Linked DNA regions of Arabidopsis thaliana. The protein of the gene in region 4 interacts with the protein of the main gene of each other region in a pairwise test. Each region holds a gene or a part of one and is shown on either strand. Other genes may lie near its edges. The genes, in order: HAT9, HSFA1E, BIM3 and AT5G41580.

Region 1 (4,652 bases), on a different chromosome or scaffold from region 4:
AATTTAATTAATATTCCTCAAAAAAAAATCAATTTATAATTAATATAAGATTATCCACGAACTTTCATCATTCTTAATTTCCTAGCATATTGATAACTCGTCGTACCTAGAAAAAGTCAAATGTTATACAATGATATGAACTGAAAAATCACATTAAGTTATAATTGGTATTTTTCATTGATTGAAGCATTAATATCGTGTGTGTGCTACTAGCAGAATTAGGGGGTAAAACAGAATTTCGTTAAGAAAATGCATTAATTAAAAAATAAGAAAGATATATATATATATACATATATATATATAAGAGTAGATTATAAATGAAAAAATAATTAAGGATTAAAAATAATGATAATAATAATATGTATAAGATGGGTAACCTAACTTTACTTGGACGGTCGACAAAAAAAAAAAAAAACTTTACTTGGACGAGTATAGCCGACAAATTCATTATTGGGAAGTGCCAAAACAAATAACAAAGCTGAGACCAAACCTAATGAAACGTTACACATAAACTTTCTTAATCCATTACTCCAAAGATTTTAGGTTATTGTTGACGAATCGTATTCACCCATATCATTTTTTTAGTTTCTACCCACTTTTATTGTACTTCTCCTTTGTGTGTTCTCTTGATAATTCTAATGTTACGTCAGGTAACCAAACAAAAAGTGATTTAAAAGGTGAGCACCCATTTTTTACAACTGTTTCGACCACATATTGCAATTTGAATAAAAATCGGGTAAAATAAACCTAACTACGGACTTAAGACTTTTGATTATATCTAGCGATATAGCTTGACCGAGTCTTAATTTGTGATGTAATGACTGCTCAAAATATAATAGTTTGAATTCCGGCTTTTAACACCATGCATGGTATAAATCAGTAACATTTGTTATCATGGTATAGTGACATTTATATATATAGTTGTTCTTATTTTAGTATTTTACCCTAATATATAAATATATTCGTACACTTTAGTTTCAAAATGATTTTACTTCCTTTTTTCTCTTATATGTTTTATTGGTACATCAGTTTATCTTGAAAGAGAAAGCGCGATATGATATATTATAAAACTCTAGGAAATACTTTGTAATCTATATAGATAACTGTGAGTTAAAGCTCGAGACTAATTATGGATGTAACGAGTTATTGGTACGGATGAATCACCTTGTTTAAAAAATTTCGAAAATAAAGTATATGCCTAAGCCTAACTCTTTCCAAAAAGTACTAAATTAATTGGTGAATGACATCAAGAGAACCAAACCTAAACAAGATGGTGGGGATCACTATCCATATGTATACGAAGAAAAAAAATAACTAAAATATATAATACATAATTAAATAAATGAATAAAACATCAAGGGCCAATGTGTTTCTATGATAAGGAAAAGGAGGCTGAAAATTAGTGGGTAAAAGTAAAACTGTCTTGTGGTCCGTTATTTAAAGGCACCTCTTAATCACTTTCTAATTACTATTCATACTAATTTCGTCTCTTTTTTTTTTTTTTGTCTACAATAACGTACGCTTCATGATAAAAATATTCATGATATAAAAATCTAAAATACCGATGCCGACTGAACCCAATGATACCAGAAAAAGAATGGAGAAAGCTTTAAATATAATATTTAATTTATATTCATGATACGATAATTCCATCTTCTACCAAATATAAAATCATTGAACTTTTTCGGGAACTTTTCTCTTATTAGTGGGAAGAATAGTAGCAAGTGCCAAGTGAGATGCTCATTTGGTCAACCTTTGCAAGTAAGAAAAATAAAAGTAGAGAGAATTGTGCCATCATAATTTCCCACATTATTTTTTTTTTCTTTCAGGAAAAGAATTACCAAGAAAATAAAATCATTTCTTTAAAATAATATAAATCATTCCTTTGATTAATAACTATTAGCCATCCACCCACCCATCAATTTCTTAAAAATATAAAATAAAAAAAATACTTTTCTTCTCCTTCTTAAGAAGCCCCATTGGCTTCATCTCCTCCCATTATCTTCTAAACTCATTTCCTTTTCCTCTCGAAATCTCAAAGATAGATAAATTTTAAAGGCATATTTTTTTCATTTCGACTCAGATGGGTTTTGATGATACATGCAACACAGGTCTTGTTCTTGGATTAGGTCCCTCACCAATTCCAAATAATTACAATAGTACCATCAGACAATCCTCCGTTTACAAGCTCGAGCCGTCGTTGACTCTATGCCTCTCGGGCGATCCCTCGGTTACCGTGGTGACCGGAGCTGACCAGCTATGCCGTCAGACGTCATCTCACAGCGGAGTCTCTTCTTTCTCAAGCGGGAGGGTGGTGAAAAGAGAGAGAGACGGTGGCGAAGAGTCGCCGGAGGAGGAAGAGATGACGGAGAGAGTTATAAGTGATTACCATGAAGATGAAGAAGGTATTAGTGCTAGAAAAAAACTTAGGCTTACGAAACAACAATCTGCTCTTCTTGAGGAAAGCTTCAAGGATCATAGCACCCTTAATCCCGTAACTACATATCCTTAATCCTAATTCTTTTTTATTATACGTTACTAATCACTTTTGATAATTCTTATCCAATCAGATTCTTTGTTGTTATATTTTATTTACAGAAACAAAAGCAAGTTCTGGCTAGACAGCTGAATCTAAGGCCTAGACAAGTTGAAGTATGGTTTCAAAATAGAAGAGCCAGGTAAAAAAAATTATATTATAAATTATCAGAATATTTGATTTTTTCATGTGTCAAAATTTCTTTAATAGTCAGAAAATTTTGTAGGTGAAAATATTTTCTATTTTTTAGGTGATATGATTTTTCTTTCGGTTATATATATTTAATTATTTATTTTATTTAATGAATGAGCAGGACAAAGCTGAAGCAAACAGAAGTAGATTGTGAGTTTTTGAAGAAGTGTTGTGAAACATTAGCAGATGAGAACATAAGACTTCAGAAAGAGATTCAAGAACTCAAAACCCTAAAATTGACTCAGCCCTTTTACATGCACATGCCTGCATCGACTCTAACGAAGTGTCCTTCTTGTGAGAGAATCGGCGGCGGCGGCGGGGGTAATGGAGGAGGAGGTGGCGGCAGCGGGGCTACCGCGGTGATTGTAGATGGAAGTACGGCCAAAGGAGCTTTCTCTATCTCCTCAAAGCCTCACTTCTTCAACCCTTTTACTAACCCATCTGCAGCTTGTTGAATAGTAGTAATTCGTTTAATTTTATTACTTAAAATATTAATTTTCTTTTTTTTTTGGGTGGCATTTTAACTAGTAGGAAGAACACAAAAACTATGTTAGAAAGGGTAAGATGCGTATAGATGGTCTCTTCTACAATTCCCACTTTGTTTTTCAGTGGGATTGCTGGTTTGAGAAAAAGAATAGTTTGTAATTATTATTTTATTTGTAGAAAAAGGTAAAATAGTCTTCACTTTAATTTATACATCTTATTTTCTCACCTTCAATTTTAGTCAAGTAAATCATGTTTGTAATAAATGAAAAACTATTTAACAATATAATTATACATGGGAATTTTTCATGCATACTAATGATCAGCCGATGATTACTTTCATCATTTTGTGTTTAGATCTTAAGGGGCTGTATTGTTCATAAAAAAATAAAAAGATAAAATATATAACGTATAATATCATATTTAAATGGGACTCAATGGATGTGGTGGTGATAAGCTACAAGAATACTAAATTACAAATCTCAATCTAAAAGTTAAAACTTTATACGCTAAAATACGACATCTATGTAATATAATGGTAGGTCATGTTTTACATCACATTAAACATCTAATGCAGTTTTCGTTTGATCTTTCCTATTATATTATATGACATTTCAAGCTTGTATAAGGTTCATTGGATTATTGCTACAAAAAGAAAGAATCTTATATTATATCATGTGAAAACATCTGATAATTAAGACTATATCATAACAAACAAAGTTCTTTTATATTAGATTCATCATTCATCTAAACAAGGCAGTGGTATCAACTTGATTTGTATTTGAACTCTTGAATCCAAAAACGGAAAGAAAAATTGATGGAAACTATGTTTTCCCACCAATAAATAAAAAGTTATATGGGAATACTAAGCAGATGGGAAAGCCACAACTTTTAAAAGGGTTTATAATTTTAGTAGCACCAAACTTTTCTCTTTTGAGTAAATCCAAAATTGAGTTGTGTAATCAGAAGCATTAATTTGATGTGATAGTAATTCTTTTACTCAAAATATTATACTTATGGATTATCCAAAGGGAAAATTCAAACAAAAAAATGGAAATTGGGTGTGAAGGATTTTAAGCGAGAGAGAAAAAGGGTGTGGGGTTTGGAGGTTAGCTCACGTGTATTGATGCATCACTTTTAATGAAATTTTTATAATTAGCAAGAGTTTTGTTTTTAAAAAATATATAAATACAAAGATCACACGAACAACAAGATGAATAGTACTAACCTTTCTAATACTTTATTGTGTGTACTCAATATATACCTTTTATAAAAAGATTTAATGGTCACAATAATAGAATAAATATTCTAACAAAAAGGAGTAAATATGAGCAATATTTTAGTCATTGTAGTTAGGGTCCGTCGGCTAAAATATATAAAATCCAGAAACTGTGAACAGAGAATAATTAATTAGGGTTTGAGTTATTCATCTGAATATAGA
Region 2 (6,141 bases), on a different chromosome or scaffold from region 4:
CAACGATGACAGGTAATGGATTACAAATTTCAAACGAGTAAAGATTTTGATTTTCTTATTAATGAGCAAGAGAATAAAAATTTTATTTTATTTAAATCAAATAAATGATTGTGGATGGAATACGAAATTTTTTAAATTAAATTATTAATTGAACCAATTATTGGAACGGTCAAAGGTTGTTCGGTGGAGGGAAAACAGTCGTGCTAAGCGTTAATTCACCGGAACTGGTTTGTAGAAATGGATGCCAAAAGATTTCTTGACAATAGAAAAATGTTATAGCTTTGATTCGTATTTTAAAGAAGATAATATTTTCGACATTTGTTAGCTATATATGAATCGAGTGTTCGACATACGTTATATATTGCATGCATGAATGTTCAAATTTTCTTTCAGAGTAACTATTTTATCCTTAATATATGGTCTTTATCAATTCTTTTAACAAATTACATGTTTATTAATGTTCATATCCTCTTTTAAAGCAATATATCCATGAGATATCTGTGAAATTTATCATATGTAAAATATTTATATAGTTTTCAGAAATAGATATATATCATATAAGCTATATAAATTACAACTAATGGTAATATCATATGTAATGTTGTATGTAATGTTAAAAGCAAGTTTAAGATTGATACAAACGACAAATGGATCTGGTTCGGTTGCAGTTTCAGAGCTTAACATATGCATGTACATACACTTTGATTCCGTGTAATCAATGACTTGATCCTTTTAAACCACTTTGTTACTATATCCACACGACACACGTTCTTCCTTTTTACTCTCTCTTTAGATGATTTCCTTTAGACGAAATTGGAACATTAGTTTTACTCAAGAAACTAAAAGTGAAGGACTGATAAAAAAACACTAAAGCAGGTAAGATTTGGCCACAGGTTAACCAAAATGCCAATTTTTGCACTTAATGTAACAAAAATAAACAAGGATCTCTAAAGACATACACAAGAACAGAAGAATATCTCTCACTTTGAAGCATCTCCTTTTCATTCTGTCAGTAACAAACAAAGATATTGCAATGCAAAAATCTTTTAAGGCAATATTTCTCTTATTTTATTATACATTGACAAGAATTAGAGTTACAACAGTTTGATACATACATACATAGTACCTCCTTTGGTCATATTCTTTTTGTTGTTGCGGCTCCACAAAATCTTAACCCATCTGCGATAACAAGACAAAGACGAGGGGTTTGGTTTTGCACAAAATTTAAATTTTGGAAAGTGTGTGGTTTATAACATATCAATATAGATAGACTGATTACCTCGTGAGGAAAGATTGTGGCCTGTGGCAATCTCATTTTCTGAGAGCATCTGATGTGAGAAGTCCCATCTGTTCAGTAAGATGGTTCATTTGTTGATTCTTGCTCCACACATTACTCAGGGTTGATTGTAACTCTAGTTGCTCCAATATCAGTTCATTTTCCACTGATCCTGAGATTAACTCATCTGTCTCACCAATCACTGGGCTCTCACCAATGAACTGTTCCCAAAAAGAATCTTGGACTTCAGGAAGCAACTCATTTAAGGTATCAGCTTCTAGTTCGAGTGCGCCATCCAAAACAGCCATTATTGGATCCAAACACTCTCCATTATCTGTCTCGCATCCAACAAGATCCGAACTTGAGCTCCCAGAAGCTGCTGCTCCTTGCGTTGGAGGTAAGAGATCACCTTGAGAAAAAGGCAAATTGGTCTCCATGACTTGATTTGTTTCACAAGGCTCGTGGTACTTCATTGCAGGATAGAAGCCTGCAGGAATGGATGAAACATCTGCCAATGTAACTTCAGGTGATCCATTTGAGGAGCTCCCATTGTCTGAAATGTTAGAATTTGGAACATCGCCCAAAAGAAAGCTACCATTATTGCTTGAGAGAGATTCATGGCTAGGTGCATTACTCATCTGCTGTATCTGTTGAAGCATAGTGTTTGTTGCATCGTTCATCGATGACTGATATCTCACAATCTGGCGGCTAAGACCATTAACCCCATGACTGCCAGAATTCATCTGGTCCTCAACAGGTAGCCTCCTCTTTTTGTTGCTTTCAGAAATGTGTTGGTTTGCTTCATTACTCTGCTGAGAAAATTGGTTTAAGAAACCTGGACTTTGGACAGCCTTTGCTAGAAAGGACATCATCTGTTGCTGCCTCTGCTCCATCACATGAACTTTCTGCCCCACATTCTGCAGATGATGTTCGGTAACTTGTTGTTGCTGCCTCAACCTTACAAGTTCCTGCATAAGGACGTTCTTATCGCGCTGAAGTCTTTCCACTTCCTCTTCGAGTCCAAATTTGCCCACTTCAACGCACGCACCCACAGATGAGTGCTGAACTTGAGGTTGTTGTGGAGGCTGCACTTGTGCAGGTTTTCGCCGGACAATACTCTTTAGTATTTGCTTTTGGCCTCTTAAAAAGCCCTCGTTTGCAAACTCCCAGCGGTCTGGATCAACTTTTCTAAAACCCTGAAAAAAAGAAGCATGGAGAATGGAACAGTCATCAACCGCAAGAAGTTACTTGGATTCCGTTGCAATAGGAAGCCAACATAGAAGATTTGTATAAACATAAAGACCATTAAATACGTTAATAACAACTATTCTAGATATGGTATGATACGTTCACTGGGTCTAGCTGCAGCACCAAACTACCATGGTCCAAGGAAACTAATACAGTTGTTAGTGTATCGGCATGTACCTGGACGGACAAATACAAACGAATGGAAAGCTAACATGGGACAACTGATAGAAATTTTGTTTTGTGACTTAAGAGGCCAGAAATGGAAGTGCTGAATCAACCAATCGTCAGACACATATGAGCACATGTCCAAATAAGCCTGCAAAGTTCGTGGAACCTTTTGGTAAGTAAATAAGAACAGGGGAGGAACAAGCTACGCAAGAGTATACACTTGTTAGTTTTGCTTGACCTAAGAAAATTCATTCCAGCCTCACAGACACGGATGCAAGCTCAGATACTTAGAAAAACAAAAACATATATGCCTGCAGTTCACAGGGTATACATGTACAAAAAACAACTGAAGAACAATACAAATATGTGAAATTATCTTGCACGAGTTTGTCAGAACCCAAAAAGATCCAATCTTAACAGTTAGTGCAACTAAAATCAACATTAACACAACCTACTAGACGTGCATAGTTCAACCACCAGCGTCAACAACTATATAGGAACATCAATCAGTAGCATCATACTATACACTAAATAGGAGTCGACTTCTCAAAGCACCTTCTTGCAACCTTAAATCATTCGTGAGTTTTATCAATAACTAATGCTTAATTCAACCACAAAAAAAACAAGAGAGTAAAATAAAAATGAAGCACATAAAGTAAGATTCCCTAAAATCGAACTACGAAATTGAAGAAAATCGAATCAATGAAGAGAAAAACAAATAAAAAAGAATCGATCGAAGTTCACTCACATAAGTATTGAGCTGTCTGACGAAGCTGGAGAAATTGTTGTGCTTGAAATACTTTGGTAGAAACTGTTTGGCGAACTCAGGCACGTTCCAAACCACGAAGCTGTTGTTTCCGCTGCTCCAAGACACCACGTCGTCCGTCAATGGATCGTCAACCATATCGTACGTTTTGCTCAGAAAAGGCGGAATGGAGCTCATCACCGCCGTCGAAGATTTCGCCGTCGCTACAGATTCGCAAACCGTTCCCATAAATCAAAATCGCAATTGATTCCGGTGTACCGTCTTCTTCAACAATTCCGAGATTCACTACTCCGGTCTTCGCAAACCTTACAGAGATTTATATTCGAAGATCATCTCTTAGCGACGAAGAGAAGAAGAAAGAAGCTCTCTCTCTCTCTGTCTACACTTATATTAAACTCTGGAGATAGCTTTTACCTCTGCTCTTTTATTTATACACTCTGATTTTTTTAATTCCAGAAAGCGGTGGAGTTTCGCAGAGTGATATAACGTGTCGTAATCTCTACCGTTGATCTGATTACCTCTGCAACGTCCGATTATTAAATTAAAAAATTAGTTTTGTTGTTAAGATAAGAAATACCACGTGGGCTGGACTAACGTGCTTGGCCTTTTTAAAAAAACATTAATTAACGTACGTACCTGGTCTTTTTCTGATTAACGTATCTGGTCCTAAGCTCTTTTTTTCATACGTGGCACTGGACTCGCGTTACTTTTCTCAATTTTTTCCATTTGCGTTTCACGTTTTTTTTTGGATAATTTTCTGCTACTCAAAGTTTTGTTGTTACGAAAACGTTGAGTCTCTCTCTCTCTGCTTGCCGCCGAGACGGCCAATAATTTTTTTTTTAAGACAATATTTATAAATCTGAAATAAACATCGATCCAGATTTGTGGATTATAGAAATCTTATCAAATTTTATAAGATTATTTCTTTCTATGATATCTAACGGCTCATCATGTAAGACTAATCTAAATTTGTAACGAAGAAAAGTGGAAAACACATAACAAGTGTATTGGCCCGCCTAATCGAGTTAATAGGGCAAGGAAATTCTCCTTTACTGCCTAACTCTTCTCCAGTTTGATTTTTATTTTTTGTTGTGGAGGGGAATATTTTAAGGTTCTCTTACCATAGTACAGACTTATAACGAATAATAATAAAAAGCAGATTATGAATCGAAAGTACGAATTTTTTCAAATCCATTTTTTTCAGATAGAAAAAACAGTACGAATTTTTATTGTTAAAAATGGTTATATTATTGAAAATGGAACAATTTTTCATTTAAGAGAATCGAATATTCCATTCATAAATAGTACATTAGTACTCTCCTTCTAAAAGAGGCACGTGATTGGTTGTCGCAAAGCACACGAGCCAAGATGCTTCACTTGGAACGAGAAAAAGCCCCAAGAGACAGAGGAGAGGGCAAAGCAAGCAAGCACCTTTTTCTTTCCCATGCTCGAAACTCGGTTCTTGATTGATTCCTTCGCCGAAGATTAACCAATCAAATCCAAACAAACCCACTCAGATCCAGATTCGTTAAATCTATCCGGATCCATTTACTTCAACGGGTCGGATCCAGTGATCTGGCACTTCACAATGGGAAGTGGCTTTTCTGGTTCTTCGGATACCAAACAATGTCGCGATTTCCTCGAAGATTCATAGATGATTCATCAATGGAAGATGCAGGAATCTCTCTTTGCCCAAGTATTCACTATAGACCTATAAACCCTAATGATCTAGATCGTTTGGAGCAAATCCATCGCGATATCTTCCCCATCAAGTATGCATCCATCTACTTGGATTTTCCTATGTTGGTGTCTTGTGAAAAGATTTCTAAAGTATTGATTTTTGTTTTGTCAGGTATGAGTCTGAGTTTTTCCAGAGTGTTGTGAACGGAGTTGATATCGTCTCATGGGCTGCTGTTGATCGGAGCCGGCCTGATGATCACTCTGATGAACTTATTGGTTTTGTTACTGCCAAATTTGTGCTTGCCAAAGATAGCGAGGTTAGTTTTCATTCTATGAATTCGTCTTTTTGTAATTCGAACAATAATGATCTTTCAGGTCCTGTAATCACCTTGAATGTTGAACTAGTTCATAATGCTTATGGTTTTTGGTTCGTCTGTGATCATGTACACTAAATAAAAGTTATTTCACTTGTCAAAAATCTTTAGAACAGCGGCTTGTAATAATGTCTGAATTATGATTGAATAATCTGTTTTGGGAGCTCTGGTAATGCAATTGAGTCTAGTGTTGTTTTTATCTTCTTATTATCTATCTTCATCAGCTGGCAGATGGTTTCTGTGTCTTGCACAGATAGATGATCTTATACATTACGATTCCTCGAAAGGAGAGGAGACTTTGATATACATCTTGACACTCGGAGTTGTAGAAACATACAGAAACCGTGGAATCGGTACATGACTCTTATAATACTAATAAGTATCTGAAACATGTTCTATATATTGCTTGGTTTTATAATTTCTGATGTTTCTGCAACTTTTTTTAACTCTCAGCAATGTCACTTATTAGTGAGGTAATTAAATATGCTTCCGGTTTATCTGTGTGTCGCGGAGTTTACCTTCATGTGATTGCACACAACAATGCTGCGATCTGTTTGTACAAAAGATTGATGTTCAGATGCGTGCGGAGATTACATGGATTTTATCTAATCAATCGACATCATTTTGAT
Region 3 (5,352 bases), 1.1 Mb from region 4:
TTTTCCCACCAAACCCGTTTCGACCACCACCTCCTTCAATCTTTCCTCCAAACCCATTTCAGCCTCGTCCTCCGCCACCATCGATATTTCCTCCATTATTTCCTAAGCCACCTCCCGCTCCTCCTCCATCAATATTTCCTCCATTATTTCCTCATCCACCTCCTGCTCCTCCTCCCTCAATATTCCCTCCAAACCCGTTTCAGCCTCGTCCTCCTCCGCCACCTCCCGAACCTCCATCGATATTCCCTCCAAACCCATTTCAGCCTCGTCCTCTTCAGCCACCTCCTGCTCCTCCATCGATATTCCCTCCAAACCCATTTCAGCCTCATCCTCCTCAGCTTCCTCCCACAACTCCTCCGTCGTTCTTCCCTCCAATATTTCATCAGCCTCCTCCAGCTCCAGCTTCTCCTCCTCCGTCGTTCTTCCCTCCAAACCCATTTCAGCCTCATCCTCCTCAGCCTCCTCCCACTCCTCCTCCATCGATATTCCCTCCAAACCCATTTCAGCCTCGTCCTCCTCTTCCCACTCCTCCTCCACCATGGTCTCTCTTTCCTCCACTGCCACCGATCTTTCCAGGCCTAAATCCACCACCACCACCTCCTCCTCCTCCTCCTCCACCTCCGTCGATCTTTCCATTTCCTCCATTCCCATTCCTACCACCACCAAACAAACCTGGCCCTCCTCCTGCTTCATCTCCTTCAGCAAACAAACAGCCTCCTTAATCGAACAAGAGTATCATAATATATACATATATATACCAAACATTTAGTCGAGAGATGAACTATCTGTTGTATAGACAGTCATATTTACATAAGGTTAAAGAATAAAGATGAGTTTTCAACTTCTACAGAATATTGCATCTGTTCTTGAATCTAAAGATCTAGATACTCTAGCTCAAATCAAGCTTGAGACACAAGAAAACAAGGACTCCTTTCTGCAAATCAAACGCATTACTTGATACAGACATGTCAACAAGCACGAAATAATTTCCCGGTTAATAGTGTGAGAAATAGAAGGGCAAGAAGTGATATATCTAAGAGACCATATACTTAAAGTACCATTAAATGGAGCAAACTCTTGTTATAGATTTGCGAAACTTGTTACATCATTCTACTTAGTTTTTACTATATCATTTAAAATAGTTGCAGCACGATAAAAGTAGTATCTACACCTACTGATCCTGACTCACCGAAAGTAACAAAATTATCAAACAGTTGTCATAACATAGAAAATAGAAAACCAGATCTTATCGTCTTATTCTCTTCTGGGAATGATCAATATCATTGCAGAAGCTTCTAGTTTCAGTAGGAGAGTCCCCTTCTTCATCAGCGATGCTATTACCATTATCCTAATGAAAAAGATACATAGCATCAAAATACAAATTAAAATACATAGAAATGTTTTTATAAGAATTACTTGCAGAGTAGTAGACTTCTTTTTCTTTTCCACTGTAAAAATGTTACAGGCATACCTCAGAAGCAAACGCAGCAACAGAATACTCGCGATCTTCTCTTTTCCGAAGGCTTAACTGCACAGATATCATGGTCTCTGACATGTTAACACCCGATGACTTAAGTGCTTCAGTTAGAGTGTTAAGTACCCTGTTCACAATCAAACCAAACAAGAGTTTTCAATCAAATCTCTCCATCTTTATTTCCTCCAGTTATCCGTTTTTAGAACCCTGAGTCTGTTCCAAATACAGAAGCAGATAGGATCTTCAGTTTGAATGACTACCTATTTAGGAGAGAGAAGCACTATTCAAAAGAGAAACTTTGGATTATGGTTATGCAAAATCTTTTCCTCTAACAATTACCAAGTTTACAGCATTTATCTCATACTCTATCCTACAGAACTTCATAGCCAAGGCAAACAAGAAGTCTCCGCAAATAGCTGAGGCATCATTGGAACCTTGTATTATATCATTCTCTCTTAGTATCCAAAAAAGGTAAGCCACTGTTTAAGGAGAGCCAGACAGGAAGGAAATGAGTGTACATCCGTGAGAAACTATATACCAACCCAAACTTTCTACCAAAAAAATGAATTAATTACTGAACAAAAAAAGCTTTATTTTGCTCTACATATGTCTTACCTTTGTGAGCAGACAGTGGACAAGCTGGCTGATGTTTTTTCGTCAGATGTTAACAATTCATTTGTAAAACAGTTAATTGTTCCACAACTTGTTTTTGGTTGCCAAAAGTCATGCTGAACAAACTGCAGCGAAGGCTCGGTACGTAGATACGATGAAACTGCTGAAACAGGACTGTGTTCAGGAATCTTGGTGCTAACTGCTGAGTCAATATCAGGATTTACTGAATTGTACGTATCCAAGAGAAAACCCGAAGAAGCAGCAACTTTATCATTACTTGAAAAGCTTTTAACGATTTGAGGATGGTCATTTTCCTCCGCAACAGACCCATGACTATTTCTCTGCATCAAAGTTACATGAAACAGTTGTCAAAAATACCAAGAAAGATGAAACACTTAACACAATAACCATGTTTCTCTAAAAAAATGTAACAAAAACGATTCAATATAACAGAAAACCAACCAAAGATAGGAGAAGGAATATACCCAAGGAATCAATTTGGTTGGGGATTGATACCACATTTGGTGAGAATCTTCATACATGTGAACTTTTTCTTGAAGAAAGTGAATATACTCTATAACCTGAGACAACATATAAAAGCAAACATCATTCTGATTCTCTGAAACACATGTTCTGTTCAAAACTATAAATTTTACTAACCTCCAACAAGAAAGAAGCTTTATCTCGTTTCTGATCATTCTGATTCTGAGGTATAATATCCATTAAACTCTGAAATCTGTATCCACCAACCAACAATCACAAATTACGAAACTTTCTTGTTACCCTTTTTAGAAAATCTGATAAAAATTCAAACTTTGAACACTTATTATTTACCTTTCATTGATTTTGCTTCTTCTTCGTTGCTCAGTCTCTGAGTGTTTCGATCTACACGAGTTTCGATTTCTCCTCCCTGTTGAAGAATCATTTCGAGAAGGCAAGTTACTGTATACATCTGCTTCTAACTGATCATCGATATCATGAGAGTTCATAGTTCGATGAAGTACGACGAACTCGACCCCGGAGATGGCGCAGTGACCGAAACTCCGGCGAGTGAGACAGAGACTGTGATTGATTTTTGTGTAGGTGTGTTCGTCGAGAAGGTGAAAAGAAAAGGAAGATAAAATCGAAAATTACATAGATAATGTGAAAGGCTCAAAAGCCCATTTAAAACGGATAGTTTCAGGCCCAAATTAATTCACTGTTGTTGCTACTATCAATTTTGTCAGTTTTCACGATCCGTACACTGCATTTCAGTAATATTTGCTGCATCCGAATTCAAACAGTATGATGCTACTACTCATCATATCCAACTCAGTGAAGCAGCCAAACAAGTCATTGTAAAGTATAAACAGATATTCTTTCCTCACTTGCAAATTCGTTCGACTTCTCCACTTTGATATTCTCCTTCTTGCTTCTCTCATCTTCCTCCCCAAACTAAACTTCCGATGCTTCTCACAATATGGGAGACATCAAAACAGATGATGAGCCAACTCCAACAATCTGTGTATTTGTTGGCTTCGATCTTGTCTTCGTTCGAAGTACAGATTAGGCTATCATTATGTCCATTATTTTTAGAGCATTCCAATGCTTCCACGGGTCCAAACTCATAGCTCCAATCGTTTTCATCTTCACAAACTTGGTCTATTTCATATTCATTTCTCCTTTCACTGATTTCACCTGTTCATCTGTATAGAATCTGACACCACACTCAATAATCTCATAGGTGTCGGATATGTTGCTGAATTCAAACAGTATCTCGTTGCCTACTTCATGACATTTTTCCTTGTTATGCAAGTCAGAGTGAAACATAACTAGATGTTCTGCTCGAGGTTTGGGGATAATATAAATAGGTGTTTCGTCATCGGAGCAACCGATTTTGCCAATGCGAGGACAAAATAAGGGAGAATTGCTAGTTTCTTCAGCATCATGGTTAGGGGAAATCACGAGGAAAACCTTAAATCCAAAGAATGCAGAAAAAGGAGTCTTGCCCTCGAGACGAACGGTGATGGAATGTCCGGTAGATCGGTGGTATAAGTCAGTGGGCAACTCTCTTCCAGGTAAGGATGCCCACCCATGAGAAAATGATTGTTGAATAATTCCTCTGCGTGCTTCTTGGTTTAGTTTGAAGCAGTTGGTGAAGCTGAGTTCCATGTATGAAGTATTAAAAGGGCAAGATACGCTCTCAAGTGATTCACACTCGTTTGCTGATAAGTACAAGAGCGAACCAGGAAGCTCTGGCAATGATGCGAGTTTTCTGCAGCCACCTAGAAATAAAATTTGCAGCCCATGAACATTTTTGATGTCATCTGGAATCTTCTCAATTCTAGTCTCGCTGAGGTCTAGATATGTTAGGTTTAGGGGCACATGTGTTACTATCTTGAGGTTTCTACTTTTGTATATTTCGAGAGTACGTAGGCGAGACCACATCGTCATTGATTCAGGTAGTTCTTCCACATCAGTGTATGATATGTCGAGTGAACTGATGTTTGTAGAAATATCTGGAAAGCTTTTTAATCTTGAGCATCCATACATGTTGACCAATTCAAGAGACTTCAAGTTGATATGAGGTGGAACTTCTTTTAGCCTTCTGCATCCCATCATATTCAAATACTTTAGCTTATGCAGATAAGAAAAGGAGGAAGGAAGCTCTACTAAATTCTGGCAAGCTCTCAGATCCAATTCTTCGAGATTTGTAGCATTTGACAGATCCGGAAGTTTCTTTAAATACCATGAACTTGACAAAGACATCTTCTTGAGATTTGCAAGGGGCTGAATGTAAACCAGATGTTAGAGTAGAAACATCAGAATAGAGAGAAAATATGTATAACATCATTAAAGATATGAATTTATGATAACTAACCTGAGTTCCATCCCATAGCTTCTCGAGCAGGCTACCTTCCATATCAAGTTCGACAAGATATTCCAGGTTAAGTTTAAGAGAAAGACTTCTCCTCGGATATGCTTCCCACTGTAGTAACCTTAGACGAGGTGGAAACTCCATGTTCTCCGGTATGCGCACTCTGTTTTTTTCATCATATCCAGTCTTAAACACCCTGAGGAATTGGAGATTACACAATCTTTTAAAAGCTCTCTCGCTTAAAAAAACTTCGCCGATTCTGGATATATCAAATGATATCCCTGACACAATTCTAGCATCCTGAAAAAATATTACAAAGGTAAGAAATCGTGAGCACAATATGTAAGATCTGTGAATCTTCACAATATGATTAAGTTTAGAACGTGGAATACTTACTGTATCATTTTCA
Region 4 (7,997 bases):
CCGACCCGAGGAACTCATCCTCATGGATAAAGATGGAAACTCCCTCCTCCTCATGCATCGTACCAAGGTAAATATATGTACAAAGTATTTAGAATAAACTTATTTGAATATGTTTTAGAATATGGATCATTATATTCATTGTACACATCATCCTTCAAAATTACAATATCACATTTATTTTAGATTATTAAGAATCAAACCTCTACTAAATCTGTCTCACAGTTGTACTTATGAATCTGTTTTGTTAGCGTTGTAGTTGTAAATTAGTTGTGTAGATATTAGTTCTAGGTTGTAGTTATAAAACATCCAAATACTTGATTGATACAAAACAATAAATGGAGCAACAACAAAATGATTTATAAGAGTTGTGAATTTTTGGTGGAATTTACCAAAATGATATAGAAATACTTTAAAAATTGAAAGAAGTTTTCGTCGTCCTTACGGATCACTCTAGCGAAGTATCGGATCGATTTGCTTACAACCATTAGAATTGTGATAGTTTGTAAATAGTACTTAAGGTCGGCGATATGTTGATAATAATGAACAATGAATGTTGAGTATTAATTTCGCTGATAGACATGTTAGCCGATTTTGTAGAAGACGTTTTGTTTTTAGCCGATTGAAGATATGTATGAACGAAGATATTACGAATACTATAGTATATATATTATTAAGATTGAGTAGGACCAACTACACTACCGTGACACCGTCCACAATAGGTCACGTCAAAAGTTCATAAATATTCTGCATGTGGACAATTGTATTGGCAAGAATTTCGTGTAACCCGTTACATTCTTTGGGAATAGATTTACAAAATTTCATTCAGCATAAAAGTTTTGACTATAAAAGTATAATCATAATTTCATAACGACGTCTAGAATCTCCGAGTATTATATGTTTGACTTTTAGTTTCACCAAAATCTAGCTATGCCTAATTTCGTTTAAATTGATCAATTTTGACGTGACTACGTACATATGGATCTAGATATTTTTACTCAATGCAATTTTATAGACAAGTACTAGTTTGAGTTTAAAATGTTGTGTATATTAAAAACGATTTTCCTTTGTATTGTCCAGAAAATTACGCTAGTAGATAGTTGGGGAATCTATGAAGCAAATGATACAAAAGGAGAAACAAAAATACCAAAGTGCCCAACCTGGTACATGAGGAAGAACTTAAAGATGAATATTCTGAGCACCAAATCCGACATTTTGGCATACGTATATTCAGGATCGTTCGATAAGAAGAATTCATACATCATCAAAGGATCGTATAGATGTAAATCGTGTAAAATAGTGCACGTCCCATTGAACAAGACAGTGGTGGAGATCAAAAGGAAAGAGGTCAGAACCAAAGGAGTCCGGTTCGGTTCAGATGTTTTTGATCTGGTTGTTAATCCCGGTTTTGACACCGGTTTGGCAATGGCTTTGGTTTTGTTATTAGATCAAATGTTCTCTTAATTAATTAGAGGTGATCACTGGAGATAATAAACATCCTCTTTTTTGGGCCAATTGTACAGTACTATTTTAAAATATTTCATAAATAATCAAACAGTATAGTATAATATACTTATATACATGATCTTCTTTGTGAGCTTTCTAAATATGCTCATCCTATAAAATGGGAAAACAATGCCCTGGTAAAACCGTAAGTGTAGTAGTTTTTATGATGTTTATTTGAGTAATTTGATTAACTTGATGTTCTAATCTGATGAGGTAGAAACAGTAAGTTATATCTAAATAAAGTGGTTTATGAATTTTAGAATGAATAACTTATTTCAGGTGCAACTACTTTTCTTACTTGTTATGATGGTACTGAAAAAATGGTTACCAAATTACCTCATTTTCAATAGGACAAGTCTTGTGCAGTGACGGAGCTAGAATTTTAGTTTACAGGGTCATATATAATTATATATTTTTATTTAATTATTTATTTTAAATTAAATAAATATGTGTAAGAACAACTTTGAAAATAATGTAAAGAACAATATATGGAATATGTTTATAAAAGTAAATATGTACCACAATTTTAGAGATTTGTAGCCATATTTTAGAAAAAAACACAAAACAAAAATGAAAAATGAATTAATGCTTAATAAAAATAAACATGTGAGGGGTCAAATTAAAGAATCGATTATCGGCATGGGGTCATTATGGAAAATTTAAACCAAAACATCCATAAATTATTATGAGATTTAACTTAAAAACAAAAAATTATAAATGTTATGGGGTCAATTGACCCCCTTCTCCCTTCACTACTTCCGCCCCTGGTCTTGTGAGACTATACATGACGAAGTGTCCATTTCAAGAAGGCAATACCTATATTACAAATTAATGCAGACAAATAGAAACAACATAAATGCCTACATTTATGTGGTTGCAGTATTTATTTTGGTAACTTGTCTCATATGGTTATAACAAACTACCTAACGGTAATCATCGAAGATGCATTTTGGAGCATATCATCATATCGACTATCGATGGTAACTAACTGGTAAGATCCAAAAGAACAAAGGACAAGAGCTAGTTTATGAATCAAAGTGGGTCTTCAAGCTCAAGATCATTCATACACATGTTTTTATCATATTTCTTTTATAGCCTTTTTAATTTAATAAGTAAACTACTAGACCTAACCAAGGGTTCATAGTAGTGGTAATAAGGGAAATTATTACAAATAGTACAAAATAAGTTTTGTTACTAAAGTTAACACACAATTTCTAAAGTTTCAAATTTAGTAATTAAATATTTGGGGATATAATTCAGAAAACCTTTAAAGTGCAAGGGTAAAAATTCAAAAAATAATTACATAAAGAACAAATTACAAAACAATAAAGCAAAATTAATTACATGGACTTCATAAAAACAAATTAAAATGAAAAAACAGGGTCAAAGAGAATTTTAGGGTTATTGTCGATTGAGCAGAGTAATTTATTCCTTCTTCTTCTTCTTCTTCTTCAAATCGTGTTTCTCCATTTCAAAATCCAGAAACTTTGTGATTCCACGGTAGTTAGTTCCAATCTCAATGTCTACGGCGGCAGCGGCTCGTCCGGTGGCTGGAACTGGCTTACGGGAGAAGACGGCAGCGTCACTGGTCAATTCCTTCCGATTAGCGTCGGTGACTCAACGTTTACGTTACCACATTCAAGACGGAGCTAAGGTTGATCCTAAGGAGTTTCAAATCTGTTGCATCTCTTTCGCTAAGTAATTTCCTCTCTCTCTCTCTCTCGCCATTACTTATAGATATTAACATGCGCGCACAAAAATCAAAGCTTTTCTAAATGATATTCTTTAATCTCTGGGTTTTGATTTTTTGGCTGTGTTTTTGAATTGATGATATGCTTAATTTCTCTGTTCAGAGGCATTGATTTTGCTATAGCGAATAATGATATTCCTAAGAAGGTTGAGGAGTTTCCGTGGTTACTCAAACAGGTTATTTCTCAATTAAAATATGGATTTTTTTTTTTTTCTGGATTAATGGAGGCCATTGTTAGTGAACTGATGATAGTGCTTGTGTTATGTGACGTAGTTGTGCAGACATGGAACTGATGTGTACACTAAGACGGCGCTTATGGTGCTGATGATCTCTGTTAAGGTAATTAAGAGAGTAATCTGCAGACTGCTTCTGTTCTGTGAATAAGCACTTTTTTTTTGTTTAGAAAAGAGAAGCCTTTTGTTTAGATTTCATGTCGGTTGGAATGTTTGAGGTCAAAAGGTTTTCACTTTGTCACCATCTATGATGACTCATTTGGTTTTGACATATAATACTTTTGATTTTTGTTAAATGTCACAGCATGCTTGTCATTTGGGATGGTTTTCGGATAGCGAGAGTCAAGAACTTATCGCTCTAGCTGATGAGGTTTGTTTTCTTCCGAATCATGGTATAAAACCAAAAGCAGGTTATTTGGATGATGAGGATACAAATGTTTTCTTTCTTATTCAGATAAGGACTTGTTTTGGGAGTTCTGGAAGCACTAGCCCTGGTATCAAAAGTCCTGGCAGTACATTTTCGCAGATCATGGAGAGGTAGGTTTTGCTTTCACTGTGTGGCTTTGTTGATTGACATAGATTTTACTCTAGCAGTTTATTAGGAGCGTGAATATTTCCAAACTTTTATCACAAGTTAGTTAAGCAGTACCAAAAACTTCTTCAATAGAATGGTATTCACTGGATACAAATCTAAGCATTGGTTGAAATTTATTTCTTTCTGATCCCAGGTTCTATCCATTTGTAAAGCTTGGGCATGTTCTTGTTTCTTTTGAAGTGAAGGTGAGCCTTTCTTCTGTTCTAAACATCTATTTCTGATATTATCATCTAAGTGTGCTTTTTTGGCTTTCCTTGCATGACAGGCTGGCTATACAATGCTGGCGCATGATTTTTATATCTCAAAGAATATGCCACATTCACTCCAAGAGAAAATTGTATGTGTGGCTCATCTGTTAGTCATTCGATATCTCAGTCTGGATCTCTCTATAATAAATTCTACCTTTATCTGTGCAATTAGGTGGAAAATGTGAATATAACCATTGCTTGCATTCTATCTAACAGTCCTTCATATACATTTTTGAATCTATTTCATCTTGTAGATGTGCCCACTCTCTGCACCTTTTGGTTAGCAAATGATTTCTTACACCAGATTCTTGTTTGCTCTTCAGCGGTTATTTGTTGCCCAGACAGACAACATAGACACGTCTGCCTGTATTTCAAATCCTCCAGAAGTCAGGTATGCGAATTGTTTTTGCTATTTTTCCTCACCGACACGAAATGTGATCCAATTTAACCTTCCTGGCTTTCATATGAAAATTGCAGCTTCTTGCTAAATGGAAAGGGGGTTGAGAAGAGAGTCAATATCGCAATGGTTTGTGCAGTTTGACTTTTAATTGGATTTTGTTTCTCTGCACTGGTTATGTGCATGTTTATGTCAATTTTTTTCTTTCCAGGATACAGGGCCTCAACTCCCTACAAATGTTACTGCACAGCTGAAATATGGAACTAATCTTCTCCAAGTGATGGGGAATTTTAAAGGTTTCTATTCAATTATATATATCTTTTTTGTTGTCCATGTCTATTTAATTAATATCTTATTAAGATGCTTGATTGTTCAAAGGAAATTACATCATCATAATTGCTTTTACGGGACTGGTAGTGCCACCTGAAAAACCGGTTCTTAAAGATTACCTTCAGTCCGGAGTCATTGAAGCAAGTCCAGGTAATTAAAGAGCATAAGATAGGAGAGAGGAACATTTTTCTTGAATGCTCTATACTATTCCAGTTTGAATCATTCAATGATTGCAAGCACATACCTGTAAGATTTTTTTTCCAATCTAATCGCTCTGTACTTTTTTTTACCTGTCTATAGATTCAGACATCATTGAGGGGCCATCACGAGTATCTCTCAGTTGCCCTATAAGGTACCAATTCTACTTTTTTACGTACTACTGTGTTATCTTATGGTTGTTTTTTTGGTCAGTGATTTAGTCTTTAATAAAACAGTCGCAAGCGGATCAAGCTACCAGTCAAGGGCCAGTTATGTAAACATCTTCAGGTGATGCAATCAAATATCAAGCGATATTCTCTTTTTTTCCATCCTTTTAAATTGGCATACAGTGTTTTAATGTGGGTGTTACCTTATTTTTCTCGTAATATTTGTTAGTGATGTGATACTTTCTGCTGCAGTGTTTTGATTTCTCAAACTACGTTCACATAAATATGAGGAACCCAACCTGGCGCTGCCCGCATTGCAATCAACCTGTTTGCTACCCTGACATTCGTTTAGATCAAAACATGGCCAAGGCAATTAGCTATCTATGTTGTAATTTGATTTCTGCTACATTTTTGCGTTGCAGCTTAATACTGATAACTCGTCTCATATCATATCCTTAGATATTAAAAGATGTGGAACACAATGCTGCTGATGTAATCATCGATGCTGGTGGTACATGGAAGGTTACAAAAAATACTGGCGAGACCCCGGAACCTGTGCGTGAGATCATTCATGATCTAGAAGACCCGATGAGCTTATTAAACTCTGGTCCTGTTGTTTTCGATCTTACGGGGGATGATGATGCTGAACTGGAAGTTTTTGGTGACAACAAGGTTGAGGACCGGAAGCCCTGTATGTCTGATGCTCAGGGTCAATCTAATAATAACAACACAAATAAACATCCTTCAAACGATGATTACTCTTCGATATTTGATATCTCTGATGTGATCGCACTTGACCCGGAGATTTTATCTGCTTTGGGAAACACTGCGCCACAACCGCATCAAGCTTCGAATACTGGAACTGGTCAACAATATTCAAACTTATCCCAAATACCAATGTCCATAGATCCAATGCCGGTACCTGTACCATTCTCGCAGACACCATCTCCAAGAGATAGACCAGCAACTACTTCCACTGTCTTCACCATACCGAATCCCTCTCCACAATACTCTCAGGTTCATGCTTCACCTGTTACACCCACCGGAACATATCTTGGTAGAACCACTAGTCCGAGATGGAACCAGACTTATCAATCTCAAGCGCCACCAATGACAACTCCATATACGGTTTGTGATTTCGTTTGAGAGACTTGTTTCTTTCTTCAGTATTCGTATGTTGACAATATGTGTTCCTTGCAGAGCCGGAAGGTCTCAGTTCCAGTAACGAGCCAGTCGCCAGCGAATGTATCCTCTTTTGTTCAGTCTCAGCATGTCCCTAGAGTACTCAGCCAGCCTAATAATTATGGCGTCAGAGGTTTAACCAGTAGCCATGCAAGCACTTCAAGGCAGCACCCAAGTGGTCCCACTGTTCAATCTGTTTCTCGATTAAGTGACCTAGTGGATGTAGACTTGACGGTTCCTGATACATCCAACTGGCGCCCGAGGATGCGAGGAAGTCTTGTGCCCGGTTCTCATTCCACTGCTCTTGACCACATGATCATCCGACCTAGCCAACAGTCTCAAACTTCCACTAGGCTGAATAGTTCACAGCCGGTTCAGACACCATCGGTTCAAACGTCTCAAGCTCAGTCACCTTTTACAACGGCTGCCTATAGAACCGAGACAGTTTTAGGAAACCGAAACCATCCGGTGCCCGCTCCTCCTGGCATTGTTAGGCCTACTGGACCGACATCTTGATGGAGAACTTGAGAGGCTAGAACAAGGGGAAGTTGGTACTTAGGAGTTAGGACACAACACTTAACATAATAAATTAGTAACTTTATCACTTTCCCACGCCATGAACAGAGTTTAGGATTCCGGTGCGCAAGTCGTATTCTGTTTATGAGGGATTAGTTTGTATTTAGCTTGCTGTTAACTTGTAATGACGATCAAACTATAAGTGTTATCAATTACTCTTGTACCCAATAAGTTCCCTTAGTTTTCTGAACTGGTTTTTTTTTGCCCAGAACTAGTTTGAGTTAGTTAGGTTTTGGATGCAAAGTGTTTTGGTTTTCTTGTGTAAGACATTTATGCATAAAGGACCATAATACATACTTTGGCCGGTTTAGTGATGAATTTTGGGATTTGAAAGAGTAATCACAAACAAAAATCGACAACGTATCATCTTTCAAATGTCTTCCGGTTGATTATTTGTACAAGTTTTCTCTCTCTCTGAAGCATGTTTTTCTTCTTTAGAATTCTCTAGTTACCAAATGTCTGGACCCTAACTTCTCTCTGTTAAGTATGTAGAAAAATATCAAAGAAGTTGTAGAGAATGAGGGTGGGTTTAATGAAGTTAGAGGAAACTACCTTTTCATACTTACATATGTAACTAAACTTGTTTTGTCTGGTATTTGTCAAATCATCGGCGTAAACCGATCATAAACCAGAAATCAGGGGATAAAATTCAGAAACATTTGTAAAAAGTCGTAACTGTTACATTGGTTTAAAATCTGATCTACACACTTGTGACTTGTCACTTGGGAGATGTGGGTCGTCAAACGGTCAGTGGGGTGATTAACACCTTAATCACCTTTAAGTAATTACACCATTAATTAAGCCATTATATATTCAAA

Evidence for each region.
Region 1: the proteins of AT5G41580 (region 4) and HAT9 interact in a two-hybrid assay, tested with the Arabidopsis thaliana proteins (one large-scale study listed by BioGRID).
Region 2: the proteins of AT5G41580 (region 4) and HSFA1E interact in a two-hybrid assay, tested with the Arabidopsis thaliana proteins (one large-scale study listed by BioGRID).
Region 3: the proteins of AT5G41580 (region 4) and BIM3 interact in a two-hybrid assay, tested with the Arabidopsis thaliana proteins (one large-scale study listed by BioGRID).

What each region holds. Positions count from the first base shown.
Region 1 is NC_003071.7:9,703,480-9,708,131, reverse strand, and holds HAT9 (Homeobox-leucine zipper protein family), read left to right. Parts: upstream 1-1,914; 5' UTR 1,915-2,083; coding exon 2,084-2,494; intron 2,495-2,598; coding exon 2,599-2,678; intron 2,679-2,849; coding exon 2,850-3,183; 3' UTR 3,184-3,500; downstream 3,501-4,652. UniProt on the Arabidopsis thaliana protein: Probable transcription factor.
Region 2 is NC_003074.8:671,159-677,299, reverse strand, and holds HSFA1E (heat shock transcription factor A1E), read right to left. Parts: upstream 3,873-6,141; 5' UTR 3,687-3,872; coding exon 3,441-3,686; intron 2,473-3,440; coding exon 1,312-2,472; 3' UTR 1,280-1,311; intron 1,180-1,279; 3' UTR 872-1,179; downstream 1-871. Other genes in the region: MCC1 (MEIOTIC CONTROL OF CROSSOVERS1), read left to right, coding at 5,085-5,230, 5,311-5,455, 5,766-5,865, 5,966-6,141. UniProt on the Arabidopsis thaliana protein: Transcriptional activator that specifically binds DNA sequence 5'-AGAAnnTTCT-3' known as heat shock promoter elements (HSE).
Region 3 is NC_003076.8:15,556,806-15,562,157, reverse strand, and holds BIM3 (BES1-interacting Myc-like protein 3), read right to left. Parts: upstream 3,258-5,352; 5' UTR 3,076-3,257; coding exon 2,921-3,075; intron 2,823-2,920; coding exon 2,747-2,822; intron 2,668-2,746; coding exon 2,572-2,667; intron 2,428-2,571; coding exon 2,090-2,427; intron 1,602-2,089; coding exon 1,472-1,601; intron 1,349-1,471; coding exon 1,247-1,348; 3' UTR 1,032-1,246; downstream 1-1,031. Other genes in the region: AT5G38850 (Disease resistance protein (TIR-NBS-LRR class)), read right to left, coding at 3,728-4,855, 4,947-5,243, 5,340-5,352.
Region 4 is NC_003076.8:16,625,685-16,633,681, reverse strand, and holds AT5G41580 (RING/U-box superfamily protein), read left to right. Parts: upstream 1-2,861; 5' UTR 2,862-3,022; coding exon 3,023-3,201; intron 3,202-3,356; coding exon 3,357-3,429; intron 3,430-3,526; coding exon 3,527-3,592; intron 3,593-3,790; coding exon 3,791-3,856; intron 3,857-3,940; coding exon 3,941-4,023; intron 4,024-4,214; coding exon 4,215-4,266; intron 4,267-4,346; coding exon 4,347-4,418; intron 4,419-4,652; coding exon 4,653-4,720; intron 4,721-4,806; coding exon 4,807-4,855; intron 4,856-4,937; coding exon 4,938-5,022; intron 5,023-5,104; coding exon 5,105-5,206; intron 5,207-5,356; coding exon 5,357-5,408; intron 5,409-5,490; coding exon 5,491-5,542; intron 5,543-5,673; coding exon 5,674-5,790; intron 5,791-5,880; coding exon 5,881-6,549; intron 6,550-6,621; coding exon 6,622-7,119; 3' UTR 7,120-7,497; downstream 7,498-7,997. Other genes in the region: AT5G41590 (LURP-one-like protein (DUF567)), read left to right, coding at 1-67, 1,078-1,461; WRKY24 (WRKY DNA-binding protein 24), read right to left, coding at 7,993-7,997. UniProt on the Arabidopsis thaliana protein: Together with MOM1 and PIAL1, regulates transcriptional gene silencing (TGS) independently of changes in DNA methylation.